Cricetulus griseus: one gene and its partner. The protein of the gene in region 2 purifies or fractionates together with the protein of the main gene of each other region. This does not show direct contact. Links are inferred from orthologs where the notes say so. Each region holds a gene or a part of one and is shown on either strand. Other genes may lie near its edges.

What was found.
Region 1: the proteins of Inava (region 2) and Cyth2 purify together in Homo sapiens (co-immunoprecipitation; 3 studies listed by BioGRID and IntAct, counting the BioPlex papers as one, with this or other methods). This does not show direct contact. The link is inferred for Cricetulus griseus from reciprocal best matches to the Homo sapiens genes INAVA and CYTH2.

What each region holds. Positions count from the first base shown.
Region 1 is NC_048599.1:154,708,121-154,712,380, forward strand, and holds the start of Cyth2 (cytohesin-2), read right to left. Parts: upstream 2,810-4,260; 5' UTR 2,619-2,809; coding exon 2,600-2,618; intron 2,381-2,599; exon of another isoform or gene 1,530-2,380; coding exon 1,382-1,529; intron 1,286-1,381; coding exon 1,219-1,285; intron 742-1,218; coding exon 623-741; intron 99-622; coding exon 18-98; intron 1-17. UniProt on the Homo sapiens protein: Acts as a guanine-nucleotide exchange factor (GEF). Promotes guanine-nucleotide exchange on ARF1, ARF3 and ARF6. Activates ARF factors through replacement of GDP with GTP.
Region 2 is NC_048598.1:53,042,418-53,046,373, reverse strand, and holds the start of Inava (innate immunity activator protein), read right to left. Parts: upstream 2,809-3,956; 5' UTR 2,723-2,808; coding exon 2,668-2,722; intron 2,032-2,667; coding exon 1,907-2,031; intron 1,387-1,906; coding exon 1,270-1,386; intron 632-1,269; coding exon 409-631; intron 1-408. UniProt on the Homo sapiens protein: Expressed in peripheral macrophages and intestinal myeloid-derived cells, is required for optimal PRR (pattern recognition receptor)-induced signaling, cytokine secretion, and bacterial clearance.

The DNA of each region.
Region 1 (4,260 bases), on a different chromosome or scaffold from region 2:
TTCTGTCCCATTCTCACCGCAGGGCCTGCACCAGATTAAGGTCGGTGAACTCATGCAAATCCACAAAAGCATGGAGCACAGATAGGTTTAGCTCTTCCCTGGAGGAGGGAAGAGAGAGAGTCCCATCAGGAGGAGTGACAGGAGCCATAGCAGTATCATCTCATTTACTATGCCACCCTCCTGCAGATGAACCTTGTTCTTGTAGCTTGTCAGATCTTTGAGTACACAGACCACCTGATGTCATCTTGCAACTGCTCTCACGCTTCCCAGATGCCTTTATCTCAGAACTGACCTTTGTCTAAGAATTCATAGCTAGTTCCCAGTTGCTATGCAATCACATGTCCACAGGTCTCCAAACACTTGCAGCTCTGACCCATGATAAAAACTTCCAGACAATACTTTCCATATGCTAGCTTGTATATGCGTGGTTAAGCCAGTGACACTCAGACTTCAACAGTGTCCTTGTTTACTGGATGACTACAGGTCCATCTCCCTCTAGTTTCAAGCTCCCTCAGAGCCAGTCAGTCCACTATATCATGACCCAGGTGGAGGCCACAAACCTGCTCTACCCATGAACTCCTATTGAGGCTGGGAGTACTACTGTACAGGCTGGGCAGCTCACCTTTCCCCGAGGTAATCCCCAATGGCTGTCTTGTTCAGCCCCTCACCCTTGTACAGGAAGCGGGCAATTTCCTCAGGTGTGTTCTGCAGAAGTTCGTGTTCTACCAAGAATTGGATCCCCTGGATGGAGGATGCCAGATTTATGCCAAGGCAGAGGCTGCTGCTCCCCATCCAAGCCTCTCCACCCTAACAGAGCATGGTCATCCCTAGCCCATCCTCTCAACCTCTGCCTAACTGATTCCGGCATGTATAGCTGGAACAGGTTTGAAGAATAATTGAATACATGATACACTGTATAAAAAAAGAAGCAGATACCTACCCATCAAGCTGTAAACACAGCACCCCTCCCTTACTGCCATATCTCACCTTGAACTGTAGCACTTACACCTAGGGGGATCCCTCAGAGTAAGGCAGGGTCTTAGCATTCCCAGCATTGCCCAGCACAGGACCGGGCTCCCAGAGGCCTCAGTACATGAACATTCATGGAACAGATGGACAGGGATCAGGAGTCTTGCCTAGAGGAAACCTATTATCTTAACACTTCTAGAACCTAGGATATCAAAACCATGCCTGAATATATCTGCTCAGCTAACTAACCTTCTTGGGGTCCATGTTGAACTTCTTCCTGCCCATTGCCATCTTCCGGTTCCGCTGCAAGGTCTTACTGCAAAAGCAGGATGGGCAGCAGCCAAAGGTCAACACTTGAGCATCCAGGGCCCTGGCCAAGCCCTGTGTCCCACGAGCTCGCCACAGTCCTCACCTGCCCTCATTGGCCTCCAGACCCTCCACCTCACTCATAGCTTCACTCAGCTCCTCTCGCAGGCGCTGGATCTCCACCAGCAGCTCCTGCTTACGCCGTCGGATGTTCTCTAGCTCCATGCGCTCCTCCGGAGTCAAGTCTGGGGGCTCTAGGAGTCAGGGTCAGGAAATGAGTTCTGGGGGGGCCAAGATTAAGGCTAAGAGCCTGGATTCCTGTCCAGAAGAGAAATGGCTACTACAACTCTTAGGGAAGAGGGAGTAAGACTCTGAACCCTTAGTCTGGGGCAGAAGTGCCTGGGAATCTCATCTCTTAATAGGTCTGGGGATGAACTTCTGGGCCCATTACTTGGAAAGATGGAGCCCTGCCTTCATCATGAAAGTGTGGACCTAAATCTTGGGTGTATTACTTGGAAAGGAACCAGTCCCTGGGCTCCTGGACCCATCACCACAATGAGGAACTCTTGGGATGTTACTTTAGATGTTTTACTTGGATGCCCTGGTTCCTTGGTTCCATCACAGTAGAACGGGAGGCTTGGATATTGAAAACATTACTTGGAAGGACACAGGGCCTTGGGCTCATGGCTCCATCATCGCAAGGGATCTGGGGCCCCAGATCCTGGGTGTATTTCTTGGAAGGTAACAGGTCCCTCCATCATGGCTGATGACCTGGGATCCTGGACCTTGGGTGCATTTCTTGGAAAAACACCAATACTCTGGTTCCTGGGTCCACCACGGTGGGGACCCTGGCATGGAGCTTGGATACATTTCTTGTAAGGAGGCCTGATCCCTGGCTCCACAATAGTGGGAGAGTTGGGGTCCTGAATCCTGGGTGCCTTTCTTGGAAAGGAACCGAGGTTCTGGCTCCTGGATCTGTGGTCTGAATCTTGGGTGCTCAGTGAAGACAAGCCATGGCATCACGACCGGGGTCAGGATCGGTAGGGAGGTCACAGAACCAAGGTTCGCAGCAAGAAAGGCAGCGGCTCGCGCGGGTGTACGTCCCGCCCCGCCCCGCCCCGCTCTTGTCGCTCCGCCCCGCCCCCCCGCCCCGCCCCGCCCGCCGCCGCCGGAAGAGGGCTCGGCCCAAACAATGGCCGGGACCCCCGGCTCTCGGTCGCGCCGGAAGCCCGTTCCGCGCGCACAAGAGCGCCTCGCTACCACCGCTCGGCTGTCCTTGGCGGGGCTTGGGAGCCACTCCGCCCTCCCGCCTCGCCTGGCCTACCGTAGACACCGTCCTCCATGGCGGCTAGAAAAGCCCGCGGGGAGTCCGGGGCGGTTCCGCCGGCTGGGCCTGAGTCCGCGTCGGCCCGCGGGCTCGAGTGAGCCCGCTCAAACGCCCCAGGAGCCACCGCCGCCTCCTCAGCGCCAGTCCTCAGCGCCGAAAAGACTCTCCCTTCACGGCCCAACCGCCCGGCCGCTGGGGCCCGCCCCTCGCTTTGACACCACCCAATCGGCTGCGGGTCTCCCAGACTGCTCCGCCCCCGAAACCACAGGATCATTTCCAGGACCAATAGACACACAAGAAGCGGTTGCAGGCACGTACAGCTAGCGATAGACTGTTAGAGTGACCAATCGAAGTGCGTCCAGGGGCTTGGTCCCGCCCCCGAAACAAAGGAAAATCCCTGGCAGCTTTATCCTCCAATAAGAAAACTCAAAAAGGAGGGAGCAGGAGGTGGGGATTCGTGGAGCAGGGAGGATTGCGCCTGCGCACGAGCCAGACTAAGACGGCCTAACCTTTTCAGAAATTCGTTGTTAGGGGGTGGTATTTGATTAGTCTTGTTGTCAAGGGCGGAGTCTCAACCTTGAGGTGTTTCCTGGGACCACACCTCCTGGCCCTCCACGCTAGCTTTTGACCGCGGCGGTTGCCAAGCAACTGGGAGCCGCACAGTCCTGTCTTTGCCTTCTTCCTCAGGGTACTTCTGTCTCAGGCAGTGGCTGTCTCTGAACTCTTTCCGTACCACCTCACGTGACTTTCCTCCACACCTCAGTCTCCTCAGTCAAAGGATGGTAAAATAAAGGCATTATCCCTTCCAAATGTATTGGGGACCACAAATACCCTGGATCTACCCTCCTGGTGCTTTCTCTCTTTCAGGCTCTTCCTCTCTCCTAAACGCTCGTCTTAGCTTCCTCCTCCTAAAATCCCGCCTTCCCCAGATATTTGCCCAAGACATCCTCTTCCCTCAGAATCTTTTTTTTTTTTTTTTTTTTTTTTTTTTTTTTTTTTTTTTTGGTTTTTCGAGACAGGGCTTCTCTTGGCTTTGGAGCCTGTCACAGGCACTCGCTCTTGTAGACCAGGCTGGTCTCGAACTCACAGAGATCTGTCTGCCTCTGCCTCCAGAATGTGCACTGACTCTCTTGGCAGCACTCCAGGTCTCTGTGGTTAGGTCCTCCTTCCACCCAGCTTTTCAGTCCTCAAAGTCCTGCCCTTCTTAATCGCCTCCCCCTCCCAGAATCCTTTCTGTTTTGCAGGAAAAGCAGTGAGGGTCCTGTCTGTGATGGGGACTCTGGCATATTTGTAAATCATAGGCCCATAATGGGGCTGATGTGACTTCCAGGTCTTGTCCTCATTTGTGTCCCTGGGCTGCACAGGTCGGGAGGATTCAGAGCCAGGACTTGGTTAAGTCTTTGGATTAGTCATGGAGCCTCCTAATCCCCTCTCTGACCTTTATGAGTGGCCTGACCCATGCCCTCCCTTGCTGGAGACCTGGTTGTGCCAATCCTATCCCACCCTCTACTTCCCAATAGAACCACATGCCCCTGCCTCTTTACATCAGCTTAGCAATTTTCTCCACTATGGTCTCCATCATCCCTAGTCCTTCCCTGCCCTAGACCCAGGGGTGGGAGAGCTGCCAGCTAATTAATCCTGTCCGGTTATTACCTGGG
Region 2 (3,956 bases):
CATCAGTGATCGGCTACCCATAGCAATAGTCAATCCCTAACTCAAGCTAGAGGAGAGAGCATCACCTTTGGGTTACTGCACTTTACCCTGAAGATAGTATTCCAGGTTGAATAAACCCTTGGATCGTGATCAAGCAGAGAAACGCCTCCTCTCTATAAAGTCTTATAAAAGTAGGGTACTACGTGGGAGATGCAGGAGGAGGAATTGGGGTGGAGAAGGTCTCCCAGGGTGGAGATGCTTTTGGTGGGGTACATGGGGGTAAGGACGGAGTCTGTGTGGACCCAGGAAGGAGTACCCTGATGGCGCTAATGTGAAACGTTAACACAGGCAATAGCCGAAAGCATACGGCAAAAGGGAGTACAGCGCCGCGCTGTGTGAGGCCTGCACAGCTCAGGACAGTGGGCTCACCTCTGCCCATGGAGGGCACAGTGGTGGGAGGGGGTTCGCTGTTCCGCCGCCGATCACCCAGGCAGCGCTCCAGCTCCCTGAGCTTTTTCTCCTCTTGTAGTGCAGCATGTTTCCGCTGCCTGCGCACCTGTCTGCTGAGGTTCTCCTCTGCACACAACCTGTGAGCCGCTTCCGTGATCTGAAGCTGCAGAGCGAACTGGCGCTCCAGGCTGCTCAGGGGGTCCTGAGGGAGGGATTGGGAGTGAGGGCCAAGAAGAGTCCTTGGCGCCGGGGGAACAGAAGACTCCAGGCAGCCTTGACCAGGTGGTGAGCAGGCAGCAGTGTCCGGGGACACACAACAAAGGGTGGAGCAGTGGGAGGGGCTCAAAGCCAACTTGTCATTATGAAAAGTCAGCATGAGAGTCCCACCCCAGCTACCTGCTGTGCAGGGCTGGGAGAGGACTTAAGTGGGACACTTTCCTCCCTGATCCCAAAGAACCAAGCACATCAACCCATGGGAATTTCTCTGAGGTAAAGGCTGCCTAGAGCCAGAGCTACCCCACCTCCTTCCACCTAGGCTGAAAAAGTACAGGCCCTCATGCTACACCAACCTCCCTGGCCACCGCTTCTTTGAGGTGGTTATTAGTATTCTTAATCCTCTGCCCACTAGGCCAAGCCCAGTGTTTTCCCTTGAGCTCCCAGCTCTCCAGCTGCTGAGGTGGCAGGCTTACTCAGAGCCATCTGGGCTACCCATGAGGAGAAGCCCTGGATTAACACAGTCAGCACCACATTGGATGGTAGAGATTGCCAGGGAACTGGACTGCTTCCCTAGTTTGTCTCTGGGGATGAGACACAGTGACTATCACCTCTGACACTCCTCACCTCTCTGTGCAGGGCCCACTCATCCAGCTTGTATGCTGCTCCAATCCTGCGCCGGACCTTGGGTGCCTTCTCACCTGGCTTAAGGGGATACTCTGCAGGCAAAGTACCAGTCAGCTCCTGGGGGGAGGGGAGGCAGCGTCAAGGCAGGGCCCCCTCCACTTGCTCAACCCTTATCCAACCATTTAAACTTGCAGTCCTATTCTACACTGCATGGCCCTTTGGAACCAATGGGCAACTTGTGCTCTTGCCCACCTCATCCCACCATGCCACAGTTGTCTTCTTATTCCCATTCTTGAAGCGTGCTCTCTGCTCTTTCCCTTTTGCCTTCCCATTCCCTCTGGTCACTTCCTCCCAAGGGCTACCCTGACCCAAGGTATAATTATCAAATGCGCTTGCAGCTCCTTGGCCCCTCTCAGTCCCTCATCTCTTCCTTTTCGGTACTTGGACCCCTGCCAGGTCTAATTTCCCTCTACCCAGTGTCCATGTCAAACCCACATAAGGGAGACTCTAGGTCTAGACCTCAATCTGATTTCCAATCCCCTCAAAAATGTAGCTTTCCCCTTGGCCTCAATATCCCAAAACATAGTTCCTCAGATAAACCCTAAGTTTGTCGGGGCAGGAGCTCCAGGGGCCTCACCGCCTCCCTTAGGCAGAGCCTACGCAGTTCCTCCAAGCAGGCTTCCAGCTTCGCTTCCAGGGCCCTCTGCTGCTTGCGCACAGCATTGGTCAGCTCCTTCATTGGTGAAACAGGGCTGTCCGGGCCTGCAGGAAGACAAGGGGCACTTGCTCATGAAAACTGAAGCAAGGCATCCCTAGGATACTGTTAATGACCTCTAGGAGTGTACACACGCCTACAGTCTCATGCTTGCCCACAAATTACAGGCTAGCTGTTATGGTCTGTGTCACAAACACAAAACATCATGTCTCCTGGCTGCCCAAAGGTTGGTAACATTATAGTGCAAAGAGAGAGCTGTCCGTCCTACCAGGGGACCCGTCTGGGGGAGGGACTCATGGTCAGAACTGTGTCTTCCCCTCTCCTATCTTTTTCCTCTCTCAAAGCCAGGCCAGACTAGACCCACAGGCTAGTAGAGAGACAGGACATTAACACACTAACTAGATAAGAGTTTTCAACTTCTTAGTAATTGCTGCAGCTCAAGTTGGACACAGCAGATCTCCACTCCAGATAGGGCAGAAACGCCTGGCTAGTGCCTTCCAGCAAGGAAAACTGCAGTTCTTTGAGGTGCCAGACCTTCCAGTGCCCCCACTTCCCCAACATAACCCTCTCTCTCCACCCTCTCCTTCCCCAGCCCTTTGGGAATTTTAGCTTCACTAGCCCAGGGCCTAGGGACTCAGTCTGGAGTCAGGGACCAGCACAGGGGAATTTCCTAGATCACTCACCAGACTGAAGGATGATGCCACTGTCGGTGTCACTGACCTCATCCTTACTCTCCATGATGAATTTCTGGGGGGAGGGGGCACAGAGGAAGAAGGGGCTGCTCCAGTCCCAGCCTGGGCCAGGATGTGTAGGATGCCTGGAGTTTTCCCAGCTTTGAAGAGAAAATAACAACAAAAACACTCTGAAGCCTCCTGTGGTTTGATGCTTGAGGGTGGGGGAATGGAAGTAAGGATTGTGTTTCTGGATCATCTGGGGCGAGAGGTTTTCTGAGGGTACAGCCTGGCTCCCCCTCCCCCCAACTAGGTCTCCATCACAAAGTTCTCTAGGTCTGAAAGGGTTGACTGAACTGGTGGCTGAACAAGAACAAGAAAAAGAATAAGGAGAAGATGAAAAGGCAGGAAGATGGGACACAATGGCAAAGGAAGGAGATGACAAGATGTCTTCATGAGATACGTATAGCCATCCTCACCTTGAGAGCACAGGAGGCGTGAGGCATGGCCTACTGTCCCACTTGCTAAGGGCACTGCAAGAAATGGCTGGACAGTGAGCACAAAGCCAAGCCTGGTCTGGGACCCAAGGACCAGGGGACCTTGCTGTCTGGACCTGGTCCTTCACTTGAAGGTCAAGGAAGCAACTCCATGACAGAGAGTTGTCCTGAATCCCAAGCCACCAGTATACCTAGGAGACTTCCTGAGGAGGAGTTAACCTGCAGACTATATACGTCACAGCTAGGAGGGAAGGGTCTATTGGGTTGCTCTATACTCCACAGCTAGGAGGAGAGAGGGGTCTTTGAGTTGCTGGAAGCTGATAGAAGCAACAGCAGACTAGAAGTTACCAAAGATAGAAAGGAAAACACCAGCTTCTCTGCCTCCCTATGACTGCATAGCACTTTGGTGGTGTAGGTACAGCCCAGCACACCACCCACCCAAACACCTGTGACCACCCCTTATCTCTTTCTCAAACCCACATCCTCAGTGGGATCCCAGCTGGCCAGGGCTGGCAGCTGTTGGCTAGGGCAGGGGTGGGGAGGGGTGGGTGGAGCCCAGGCGGAGGTCTGGAAGCAGAGGCCACCAGCCACCTCCTCACTGAGTCAGCCCATTGAGCAAGAGTCCAAAAGTCCTTCAGAGTTTCTGTCTGGAACTTATCCTGCTGCCTCCACAGAGCACAAGGGCTGCAGGGGTGTGGTGCAGAGAGGAGGGGAGGGGAGACTGCATCCCTGCCGAGCAGAATGGGGTGCTACTACTGTCAGCTAAGCTCCCCATGCCAGCTGACTGAGCCCGAAAGAGCAGGG